Drosophila melanogaster: one gene and its partner. The protein of the gene in region 2 interacts with the protein of the main gene of each other region in a pairwise test. Each region holds a gene or a part of one and is shown on either strand. Other genes may lie near its edges.

The links.
Region 1: the proteins of CG9853 (region 2) and Secp43 interact in a two-hybrid assay, tested with the Drosophila melanogaster proteins (one large-scale study listed by BioGRID).

What each region holds. Positions count from the first base shown.
Region 1 is NT_033779.5:4,451,930-4,457,013, forward strand, and holds Secp43 (tRNA selenocysteine associated protein), read right to left. Parts: upstream 2,525-5,084; 5' UTR 2,434-2,524; coding exon 2,398-2,433; intron 2,337-2,397; coding exon 1,362-2,336; 3' UTR 1,240-1,361; downstream 1-1,239. Other genes in the region: CG15439 (uncharacterized protein), read right to left, coding at 1-1,022; ND-B8 (NADH dehydrogenase (ubiquinone) B8 subunit), read left to right, coding at 2,800-2,897, 2,959-3,065, 3,127-3,209; Gs1l (GS1-like), read right to left, coding at 3,397-3,809, 4,185-4,403, 4,457-4,520.
Region 2 is NT_033777.3:4,397,613-4,405,122, forward strand, and holds CG9853 (uncharacterized protein), read right to left. Parts: upstream 4,416-7,510; 5' UTR 4,304-4,415; coding exon of another isoform or gene 3,989-4,303; intron 3,874-3,988; coding exon of another isoform or gene 3,742-3,873; intron 3,527-3,741; coding exon of another isoform or gene 2,966-3,526; exon of another isoform or gene 2,898-2,965; intron 2,579-2,897; 5' UTR 2,282-2,578; coding exon 2,130-2,281; intron 2,069-2,129; coding exon 1,834-2,068; intron 1,774-1,833; coding exon 1,141-1,773; 3' UTR 946-1,140; downstream 1-945. Other genes in the region: CG9855 (uncharacterized protein), read right to left, coding at 1-24; CG14647 (uncharacterized protein), read left to right, coding at 2,966-3,526, 3,742-3,873, 3,989-4,303; lost, read left to right, coding at 5,590-5,668, 6,857-7,027, 7,089-7,510.

The DNA of each region.
Region 1 (5,084 bases), on a different chromosome or scaffold from region 2:
GCTGGATTTGGGTGAGGGGCAGGTGTCTCATGTTCGGCAGCTAACGCCTCTTTTTCCCTCGCCCGTTGCATCATATTGAGCCGCAGTGTGTGGTAGTTGCGCCGTCGCTTCTTGATCATCTCCTTCTCCGAGTGCACCTTGCAGTGAGCGTAGAACGGATCGGCGGCATCGTCCTCGTGGTGCGCTTCGATAAGAAAGCCGGCCACCTGGGCGCAGGTCACGTGAAAATAAGTCTTGCACATGCCTGCATCACAACCAATGCAAACGCCCGTGCGAGCGAATAGAGCGTTCTCGCAAAGGGAACACACCTTGGCGCCCCACTTGCTGTACTGCATCTCGAAAAGCGTCACCGAGGACAGCTGCTCCACTTCGCCAAAGGCCACGCCGGGCACATACAGAGCGCAGATGAGGTGCACCCACTTGCCCACGTCGGTCTCCTTGTAGATGCCGCCCTTGTTGGGACACAGCTCGCAGTCCGGTTCCGAGACCCCAGCACGACAGGCCTCGCAGAACCACGGTTCCGTCGAGCAGGTGGAGTTGGTACTGGATATGCTCACGTTGTCGCTGACGCCATAGCATCCTTCGTGGACAGATACGCCGCAGGAGTCGCACTCCACGATCTCGTTGACGTCGTCGCTGCGTTCGCCCAGGCAGACGCAGCACATCCGCTTGGCCGGAGCACTAGACAGCTGAAGTGGCGCACGAGGCACTACTGGTGCTGCCGGGGAGGAAGCTGCGCAGTGGTCCACTCCATTGATCCCGTTCTCCAGTGGTGACGGTTCCGTTTCCGCCAACAGCTGCCGGAGCTGCAGTGTTGAATCCTCGCTCTCCGCATCCGAATCCGATTCAGAATCGGAGCCACCACTGGCGTCGCTGCTGCTACCGTCGCCATCGCTCTCGTCCTTCGATCCGTCCGAGCAGTTGTCGATGTCCGGCAGGAAGTCGCTATCCGAGGAACTCTCGCCCAAGTCAAAATCGAGCAGGGCCTGCGTAGTAATCTTCGGCTGCCGCGCTCGCTTCATGATTCAACGCTTATTTAGTCCGCAATTGTCTGCACAATCTCCGAAAGTCTCGGGCCAAGGCAGAAACTATCGACAGTCGATAGGCCGACATGGCGATGACACGGACAGAATAGTATTCCGTCTGTATATCGATAAAATACATCTGTTGTAAGGATATTAGGGATATTTTGTAAAAATGTATCCTTTATTTTGAATCCTTTGTTAAGAAATGTAGATTCAGGAGCATAAAAGTTTATAGCAGGCTCAAAAACAATAATACGCTACAAGTCAGGCTTTTATATTTTTTGCTTATATCTAAGCTGTAATTATAGTAAGCTATAAATATAGTAGATAAGTATCCTAAAAGACTTCCAGCTGCTCAATGGGCAGCCACTTAGAGCTCTCCAGAGCATCGTACAGACGGCGGTCGGCATCAATGGCCTCTCGGTTCAGTTTGTCCACATCCAGGACGAACTTGTGCTCCACCAGTCCGTTCTCATCCTCAGCTCCATTGGCGGCGGAAGCGGTCTGCTGCTGCTGCTGCTGCTCGTACTGGGCGCTGCGTTGTGCGCTCCAGGCCTCGGCGTGCTGGGCCAGAGTCTGCGGATTAGAGTGCGACTGCGACATGGCCTGCTGGTAGTATGCAGCCGCATCTGTGATCGAAGCACCGGCCTGCTCGTAGTAACCTTGCCAGGCCTGGTATCCCTGCCAATAGGTGCTGGTGGGGTCGTAGTACTGCGAGTAGTCGGTGCCACCTGCTGCAGTCATACCGCTTCCATATCCATAGTTTGTGTTGCCTTCGCCCACAGCACCACCCAACTCGGATTTGGGTTTGGGCACGGCATTGCAAATCTTTATGGGCTTGGTACCCAATCCGATGTACCCGTTCATGTCGTACAGCGCTGATTTCTGCTCATCCTCGATGCCAAATCGCACAAAGCCGTAACCCTTGGAAAACCCCAGGCTGTCCAAGATCACCTTGGCGGTTTTGATCGATGTGAACTTGCTGGAGAACACCTTGTACAGCTGATAGTCGTCCACGTCCGAGCTGAGGTCGCCCACCCAGACGCTAAATTCGCGTTCATTCCCGGGCAGCTTGTACGAGTTGCTGGCCGAGTTAAGACGGAATCGCACAATGGGATTGGTGCCCGGAATGGGCTTACCGTTTAGCTTGTGCATCGCGTCCAGCGCATGGTCATCGGATATGAAGTTGACGAAGCAGTAGCCGGCCGGTTCGCCCGTGTACTTGTTGCGCATCAGGCGCACCGTGGTGGGATCTTCGCCCATCTTCCGGAAAGCGGCGATTATGAAGTTCTCCGTCATGTAGGACTCCAGCTGAAATGGCCATGCGGGCTTAAAGGGTCATGTGTCTGGGGTAATGCACGTTGCTACTTACGCTTCCCATCCACAGTTGACAATGCACGGACGCCATAATTGTTCAAATACGTGTTCAATTGAATATTTTCCAGAGACAAATGATGTTTACCAAAACAAATGAGTGACTGGCCGTCAAGCATTTATCGGTATTTATCGATGTGGGCCAATCAAATGCTGACCTGGTGTCAGCCAAGACAATTGCCTTGGTTCTTGTCTTTGGAATGGATATTCAAACGATGCAACTAATGGTTCGCGTCTCTGGTGAGTTAGACGTTATTTTAGTTTGAGCCAAAAAGTAATTTGTTTTTAAAAAACAATAATACCAATATGTAATCCAAGACAGTTTGACAACCCTGCGTAGTACCGACATTTAAATAGACTTACTTCCTGAACATTTCAAAATCGCAAAAGTGGTGCCAAAATGGGTATTACTCTGTTCCGATTGGCCAGTTTTACTCCAAAACTGAAGGAGCTGCGAATCATTCTGGATCCCAAAGGAGACACTTCCAAGGGAGTCAGGTGAAATTGTCATTTTCCGCTTTTAAATTATATAATTTGCTAAAGCAGCGTTCCTTTACAGGGAATACGTGGAAAGGTTCTATCCAAACCTGAAGAAGAGCAATCCCGACCTGCCGATCCTCGTGCGCGAGTGCTCTGGCGTCCAGCCCCGCCTCTACGCCCGCTATGGTGAGTAGATTAGCATAATGTGCGCTGCTAGCTTCCCCCACATCGATTCCCATGTCCGCAGGCAACGGCAAGGAAGTGTCCCTCTCCCTGGCCAACCACGCTGCTCCTGACATACACAAAAACCTGGAAGCGGTTGGCAAATAGAACTTACGCTGGAAAACTATGTAGATTAGGCGCAAAATAAAGGCAAAGCCAGATGCTTTATGCACACATACGTATACGTGTATATGGGATAACATTTACACTTAAATTCATTTTCTTGGTAGGTACATCGATTTCCAATTACAGCAATAGCATCTTTTAGCTACAAAAAGTACGTCAGCCATTAAGTTCAATCCGTGAAGGCGGGCAGCCCGAACTGCTCCGGCTTGAAGTCCGCCAACGAGGCCAGCACTTGTGTGGCGTGCGAGGTCTTTTCCTGGGACAGTCGTGGGTCCGGCACCATCACCACCTGCATTCCGGCGCTGTTGGCAGCCGTCACGCCGTTCGGCGAGTCCTCGAACACCAGGCAGTCGGACGGTTTGGGCGGCACACCGAATCTGCCGGCGGCCACTAGGAAAATGTCGGGCGCAGGCTTGCCGTTGACCACCTCCTTGTCCGACGAACCGCACACCTTGTGGTTAAACAGGGAGAACAGCTCCCGATGTTGGGCCGTCTTCAGCTCGACCATGTCGGCGCCGGAGCTGGTGGCCAAGCAAAAGGGTACCTTGTTGGCGTGCAGGTGACGCAGCAGGCGCTCAGCACCTTGAACGGGGAAGGAAGCACACGATTAACAAACGGCTTTAATCACAGTAGGATAGTAATTGAAGCAGAAGTATTTATAGGGAGAAATGCCGATTAGTTTTCTGGTCGTGGTGCTAACCTTCCAGCAGGGGTACGTTGTGGAATCGCTCGTGGCACATTTGCGAGTACCGCTTGAGATAGTCTCCGGTTGTGATGGGCAGCTGGCACTCGGTGATGGCTATCTCTGCCGAGCGCTGGTCCGTGGTGCCCATTACCCGGAAACGCACTTCCTCCGGATACGGGCGGCCAAAGGAGGCGGCTATTTGCCGGGTGACCTCCTCGTATATCCTCTCCGTGTCTGAAACGTGACGGCAAAGCGAGAACTGGGATTAGTACCTGGCATCAACTGGGCGTTCCGCATCAGGATCTCGGTGTTGGCGCGCTGCTGGCGTGCGTACTCCTCCCACGACATCGGCAGCTCGTAGTGCTCGACCATGAACCGGGCCAGCGGTTCCGTCTGCAGGCCCATGACCTGCTCCTTGATCTCAAAGGGATATGTCTTGCCGTAGGGCTCGAGGATCATTTCGGTGGCCACAGTATAAAGGCGTTCGGTGTCTGTTCGGCAAATAGTTAACACAGAAAGCAGATACAAGCACGGCAGCACTCACCCAGCAGCAGACCGTCCATGTCGAAGACGCAGTGCGTCACCTTTCGCAGCACTTTGTTGGCCATCTCGCAGCAGTTCTCCTCACTCTGGGCTTCCGATTATGTAATGTTACAAAGTCAACAAGTTCGTTTCCTAACTGCAACACAGAGGTCATAATCAAGTTACTTTGTTTTTACTGGAACATCCCCCGCCCACACAGGCATGCCCTCCACTTTGACTACGTTTCCTGGATTCGGTGCCTCTTGTTCGGTCGTGTCCTTGACCCAAGGTCGCCGCACCCCATCACCAACAGCAAGGTCAAAGATGGAAGTTGCCCTCATCCCTACGGCCTTGACCTACACGTAATCTGCTTCCGCTTTTTGCAATATCGGGCGTCTCGTACTTTTCCGCCTCTTCCGAATTTTTCCGCGAGCTTTCTGCCCGCCGCTGTGTGACCGTAGCTGCGAAGGCGCAAAAAGCCTAGTCGAGAATAGTGCTAAAAATGGAGGGATTAACTGATAATGCGCACCGACGCAGTTATACTCTTTAAATTACTATTTATTTTCTTTATATTATTACTGTTCCTCTTAAGTTACAAAAATAGGCATACTTCTAATATTGTCAAACTCATTTAAATTTGCCCTTGTTAT
Region 2 (7,510 bases):
GGGCGCTGCAGCTTTGTCGGCCATTTCGCTGAAAGTATAACACAATGTCCTATGTTTATCGATGCACAGAGGCCCAACCTTAAGGTCCTGCTTACTTTGCTCTCACTCGGCTTTGTTGTGCGGTGATTGGCCTTTTCGGTTAAAGGTTGTGGCTTTAATTCTGAGCGTTTCTCAACTTTACTCTTATTTTGGGTGGTTCAACGAAAATAAAACTAACTAAATAAACCCAATCTGATTTATTCTACCAGGGCACTTTCAATGATTTTTCGGACGGACCAGATCTCAGATTGTATTTTCCAGGTCGACGCTAACTTACCCTTGTGCTGGTCACACTTATATCGCAACATAAATATTTTTTTGGGATTTCGTCGTATTATTTTTAAGCCGTCGATTCCAGAAGGACAAGTTAGATACATTGTATAATTTTTAAAAACGATTGACCTACTTACGAAATATTCACACGTATTCGAATTCTACTACCTAGTCCACTACTGACTTAAAATATACATAATTTAAATTTGGAAAAACAACTTTTCTGAATTCTTCCGCCAATACAGAATAACACAAAAACGGAGGGAAATGAGAACAAATTATACTACACCTAAATAAGGGATTCTGCTTTTATGTTACAAGCCGGGTTGATCCCGCATATTCAATGTCGACTTTCGATGCTGGTTATTTATTTTTGGAAATACAAATGTTATAAAATTATAAAACTTTTCAAATATTTCAATTAATTAATTTTTCTTTACAATTTTTTCCCATTTTAATTGCATCCTCGAAATGTCGACTATGGGATGTATCGCGATGTATTTTCACGTTGTGACGAAGCGCACCCGGATATTGTGCGTAGGAGGCAAGCACTACAAAAGCACAAAAATCCAATTACCAGTTCAAAAGATATTCCCAAAACAAGATTTTTGAGAACTTGTCATAGTGATTTTTGTTTGAATAACTATTTTTTTATAATTTGCATAATCAAGACCATACGCTTATTTAAAATTATTTAGCATACAGCAATTTAAAGTTATAACAAAATAGCCCGATGATTTTGTGGCAAAGAACTTCATTGACTTTGAGCAACCAAAAAGACCAGCAACAAAGGATCCCTCTTCGGTATGCTTCATTAATGCATACATGCTATTCCAGTTCGTTATTCTCGTTTTGCCGCCTCAGGGTCGTGTCATGATCGTCCGCATCATCTTCCTCAAAGCCCGCCATAAGGCGATTGAATATGTCACCAAACATTCCGCCCAACCCGGGCGGGCCAGAATGAGCAGCCTCCGGATGCTCGTCGAAATACAGCACCCCAATCTTGGCTACGTACTTTAGAAAAGACGTGTCGCGCTTTAGGGATGGATCGTAAAGCTTGCGTAAGGCCCGAAACCCAGCCACACGCTTCGCGTCAATAAGACGGAATAGGAAGTACAAGAAGTTGACCAGCGGTTCCTTATAGGGGAACTCATGCTTAAGCAGCTTGGCGTGGTAGCGTGTGTACTCAGTGAACGTGTCCTCTGCAGTTTTCCGATCCTTAAGGGATAGCTGCTGCAGCACAGCTTGTACCAGAAACAAGTCCATCTCGCCCTGGAAGCCCCTGCTCTGGCTGATTTCAATTAGCACTCGCCCACATAGGCTGCCATCCTGGCAGAGTAGATAGTGGTGACGAGCCGACTCAATGTTGCCCTCGGTCCAAAACACGTGCGCAATTAACTTATGGAGCACTGGGTGGCCATACTGGCCATGCAAGGCCGTGCTCCACTTAATGGTCCGTTGCTAAAGGAAAAAAAATTTCATTGCCGGTATAAGTCGCGTTTAATAATGTCAAAGACTCACAATAAGGGTTTCGCGCTCTACAGTCGCGGAGTTAAGGCCGCGGATCAAAGCCCCTAGGCGTGGAACCCACAGGAAGTTGTCGGTATCTTCCGCCTGTGGTCCTCGCTTCTCTAACGTGTCCACCAGAAGGAGACATAGGTCCGCGGCGCTGCTTTCCTGTTCCTTGGCAATAAGCTGCTGTGCTCCATCAAAGAGCAGTTCCAGGCAGTCCTGATAGCGTTTCTGCGCCGTATACCTAAGGAATCGAATTTCTTATTGGATTGCATTTCCTTGCACGGATTATACAAATAGTCTACCGAAAATACAGCGTCCTATACATCATGTGCGCTTCATAGAATTCTCCTCCTGCCAGAGACTGGGACAACTTGGCAAGTACTCGGCTGACACCGCGCTGTCCAGTGGACACCGCACTGCCGCTGGCTATTGGACCTGTCTCGGCGGCAGACATTTGGTTATTTGCGGGGTTTATTCGTACGCTTTCAGCGACCTTCTCAATTATGTGGAAGCCAATTTTTATAATTTATTTTGTATTTACATATACCAGCTTCCCGATGACAAACTATCGGTGTCGATTGCCAACTATAACACTCTTTGCACAGGCGCCCAATGTCAAAACAAAAATTGAGGGTTTACACTTCTAACCAATCAATTGGTAATTTAAAATGCATTCGTAAAACACCTTTTATGGTTTTAATAGTTTTCTGCTTGCAATGTCCAATGTCCACAAATATTTTTATTTTCACATCTGAAAATTGGTTCTTCATAATTCAATTCGCTTGTTATTTTATACCATCTTATATGAATATTAAATCATCGTTATATGAATATTAAATTTCAAATAATAATATGTTTTGTAGCTAATGGACAGTAATAAGATAAGACATATCCAGTTTTCTGATAATTGTTTATTTGAGCTATTTCTTCTCTTCGTTAAATTATTAATTTAAATTATTAGCTAAATTCACCAATATCTCATAATTCACACAACTATTAAATGTAACGCTGCTGCTGTTGCGGCCTCGTGTGAACAGCCCTAATCGACGACTTTAATGGAATGACGGGGGAAGAACGGGAAGATAAAGCAGCTGAGAATTGCCAGGCATTGTGGAAATTTTTTAAACTTCCCAATCAAATGAATAGTGATCTGAAGGAGAGTGGTTCCGGAGCCAGAAAAGACGACGCCGCACCGGCAGCCGGCGATTTCGTCGCCGCTAGCGGATTCGCTCCCAATCGTTGGGTCAAACTGAACGTGGGTGGACAAATCTACGCCACTACCATCGACACTCTGGTGGGCAGAGAACCGGATTCAATGCTTGCTAGGATGTTCCTGCAAAATGGCAGCATGAAGCCCAGCGAGCGTGACGAGCAGGGAGCATACCTGATTGATCGAAGTCCTCGATATTTCGAGCCGATCATCAACTACCTCCGCCACGGACAATTCGTATGCGATTCGAACATCAGTGTGTTGGGTGTTTTGGAGGAGGCGCGGTTCTTCGGAATCTTTTCGCTTGTCACCCATTTGGAGGAACGCCTGGGACAGCAGGAGACGCCGCTGGGGGACAGACCATTGACGCGCAACGACGTCATCAAGGCCATCATTCAGACCTCCGTGATAACGGAGCTGCGCTTTCAAGGCGTTAATCTGTCTGGGGCCGATCTACGAAAGCTAGATTTTCGCAACATTAACTTCAAGGTGTGCGCAAACGAATTTCATTTCAATGCATACATTGTGTAATACAACATTTTAAGTCTTTCCAACGCCGTAACACGACTGCATTTTAATATTATTGTAGTTTGCTACGCAGTAAAGGAGATATTTTCGTCCGGAAAAAAATGGAAAATTATTGGTGGAGATCTATCAAGTTGAAGACAATAATTATACTAAAGACTATCCCTTTTCCTTCACAGTATGCCAACATGTCTCACTGCAATTTGTCCCACACCAATCTTAACTACTGCTGTCTTGAACGGGCGGATCTTCAGTACGCAAACTTGGAATGTGCCCAACTAGTGTCAGTGCGGGGACTTTGCGCCAATATGGTAAGCACAGGTTTAACAGAAAACGCTATTAAATAATCACATCATTTGTGAAACTAGTTGTAACAGATTTACGCCATCCAATTAGCTAAGAAAACTAATCTGCCTAATCTTTCAGGAAGGTGCAAACTTGCGTGGGTGTAATTTTGAAGACCCAACAGGAGTTCGAACTAATCTAGAGGGTGTTAACCTCAAAGGAGCATGTTTGGAAAGCAGCAACATGGCCGGTGTTAACTTACGTGTGGCAAATTTGAAGAACGCCAATATGAAGAACTGTAATTTGCGAGCTGCGGTGTTAGCAGGTGCCGACTTGGAAAAATGCAATCTTTCTGGCAGCGACTTGCAGGAGGCAAATTTGCGTGGGGCAAATTTAAAGGACGCGGAGCTTACCCTAATGGTGACCCCATTGCACATGTCACAGGCCATACGATGATATCTTGGTTGGCACCTATCACTAATATTACTGTTATTGACTGTACATACTTAAAAGTTTAATAGTAGGTTATAAAATAAACAGTATTAGGATTGAATTTCTAAAGTCGTGTGTATTATTCTTATTCCTTACTCGTAGAGTAAAAAAGTATACTAGATTCGTACTAGAAAAGTATGTAACAGGCAGATAGCAGCGTTTCCGACTATATAAGGGATATATATTATATATAATCCGGATCAATAGCCGAGTCTATCCGTCTGTCCGTATAAACGTCGTGATCTCAGGAACTATAAAATCTAGAGGTTGGGATTAAGCATACAGATTTTAGAGACGCGGCTCACGTTTGTTGACCCATGCTGCCATGCCCATTCTAATGCCCACAAACCGCACAAAACTGTGACGCCCACACTTTTAAAAAATGTGTTGATATTGTTTCATAATTTAATTAGTCTTGAAATTTTCTATCGATTTGCCAAGAAACTTTTTACCACACCCATTCTAACGCCCTAAAAACGCATTCCCACTGGCTGAGTAACGGGTATCTGATAGTCGGGGAACTTGACTATAGCGTTCCCTCTTGTTTTTTTTAATGAAATTTCGCGTTCGCATTCACACTAGCTGAGTAACGGGTATCTGATAGTCGGGGATTTCGACTATAGCATTCCATCTTGTTTTTTTTGTTTATTACATAGTCTTAGTCGCATCACTAAAGATTCTTTTATATTTTTATATAAAACATTCCTTAGGGACCTTGCAGAAGAGTTACATTTAGAAAATCCTAAGCCGGGGCAGGAGCCTGTGTTAATTATAGTTTATCCTTCGATTCCTTTATCTACAAGAAACATAAATAAAGAAAATAATATAAAATTTATCTATTTTTAGTTTTTAATACCTTATTCGCAGTGATCACAGCTTACAATTTTACCGAACTATCTGGGTGGTACTCGATGTTTATTAAAATAATATATAACAATTGAAGCGAAAAAAGATGATGGACTTGCATGTAGATCTAATGTATATTGTCGGTGGCGTGTATAAGCTCAGATGTATAACTTTTATTATATTTTTAGCTAGAACCATCGCAAGCAACTCTATACGAAATGTATCGATGTATCGCATCGGCGATGTTTTTTTACGTCACCAGAGAAACGTCAATTTTCAAACGTGGTTTGTTGGAAGCCAGCGGAGAACGGTAGACGTTGCTTGTGAACTGTGAACTGTGTAGCCGTAGCCTGAGCCGGTAAAAAATTGTGAGCAGAACTAAAACACAATTGGCGAGCGATTCGATGGAGGACCAAAGCAACGCAGCCCCCGCTGTCGCCGCGGAGAACGGCGGAAACACCGCGCAGGAGGTGTCTTCGACAAGTAAGTGGCCTGCCCTACTACCCCGCCCGCTCGCCGACGAAAATTGCGTGTAATTCTCGCGAGTGCTGGTGATTCCATAAATGTTTTGCGCCGCGCCGCGCCTTGCTCGCTGGGCATCCAAAGTGAATACCCATGTTCCAGAGGGGCAGGTGCCCGATTCAGCCATTTTCTAGGTGCCAGTGTAGAAGCGGAAGATTGTCGAATTCCGCCATATTTATTTCTAGGAGACCCTAGCTGTAAATAAGAGTTGCCGAAACGCCGAAGTTGCTTGTTGTTGACACTAATTACGTCATCTTTGCGCGCATTCTTCCCACAATTACAAAAAGTGAAATGAATCATTTTCGGTGCTCTTGGCCGATTTCGATTTCGAGATTCTGTGCTCGCAGTGTCAATTCACCCGCTCGCTTGCGCCCCGCGCTGCCCGACACCACTACACGCTCGCGGCACTGCTCATACGAATACATATTAATTGAGAAATTCGCGAGTCGATGCGCTCATCGCCCAGAAATGTGTGCGTGCGAGTGTGTGCGTGTCGAAGCGTTGCCAACTTATTGGTCATGCGTTAATATCGGGATATGGGTTCTTAATTTGTATTTCTCATTGAACCCGCCAAGAAAGACGGCCGAAATAGTTTTAGCGGCCAATTCATACTTCAGTTTCAATTCAACAAGCGCACACACATGCATGTTGACGTGTGTTCTTTAACCAGCACAGGTGGCAACCCTGCCGTCCCGATTTTGCATGCAGATTTTTGTTTTCAATGATACGGGCCGGCGTTTGCTGGTGTATGTTTGGGTCACTTTCACATCTGATTACTGGGCGTGGAAACCGGTATATCAGCCGCGGTATCACTTTTAGTCCAGCGCCAACTAGCGTGATAACACGCGTTCATTACAGACGATAAGGGCAGCGGCTGTGTTGCTATTCAGCACATTTGATTCGCACTTTTACAGTCAACCTCCCCTAACAAAAACTAACATGTCCGAGAAGTTGGGGAATCGCTTGGGTCCGCACGTTATCATACCTACAGATCAGCTCTGGAATGGAATGTGGCTTGATTTAATGAAGGCTAGCTATCACTAACACAAATACAAATGAGCTCACCGCTGCAATAAACTAAAATATGTTTCTTTTAGTCATCTGTTTATGTTATTGGAGCATATTATTGTAACAAACATGTCGTTACAGCTCAGCCCATAGAGCCCACAAAGCGCTCGCTGCGCGTGCAGACCTGGAAAAAGATCCAAGAGGGCAAGGTTGGCATTGGATTCAACAACATATTTAACCGAATTCCTTCGTTCGTGGGTGCCGATAAGGCTGCTGCCTTGTTTGCCAATGAAGAGGAGTTCAAGAAAGCACGTAAGGGAGTACCACAGCCCCGTTTTCAGTGCACCAATTATCACTCTTTCCCGTATTGCAGAGCACATCAAGGTGAACATCGATCGCGTCTTGCATGAGTTTAAGGAACTGGCATTGCTGGCCGACAAGTCCGTATACTTGCCCAGCACCCGCGAATCTTCTGCACTGTGCCTAAAGGTAGATGTGCTGGCCGATGCCACCGAGGAGCAGAAAAAGGAGGCTCTGCGCGTTCAAGATATTCAAAAGTTTCGCTCGGAAATTGGATTGGACAGCGGTCTGAAGCTGGACATCGTGGTTATTGGCTCTGTTGTAGTGTCACGCGAGGGTTACCGCATTGGACGCGGAAATGGTTTCGCTGATCTGGACATCGGCCTCCTTATTGAACTGGGAGCCATTACACCGAAGACAATTATTGTCACAATCGTGCACGACATGCAGGTGGTGGACTCACTGCCCCCGAATCTATTCCAGAAGTACGATACG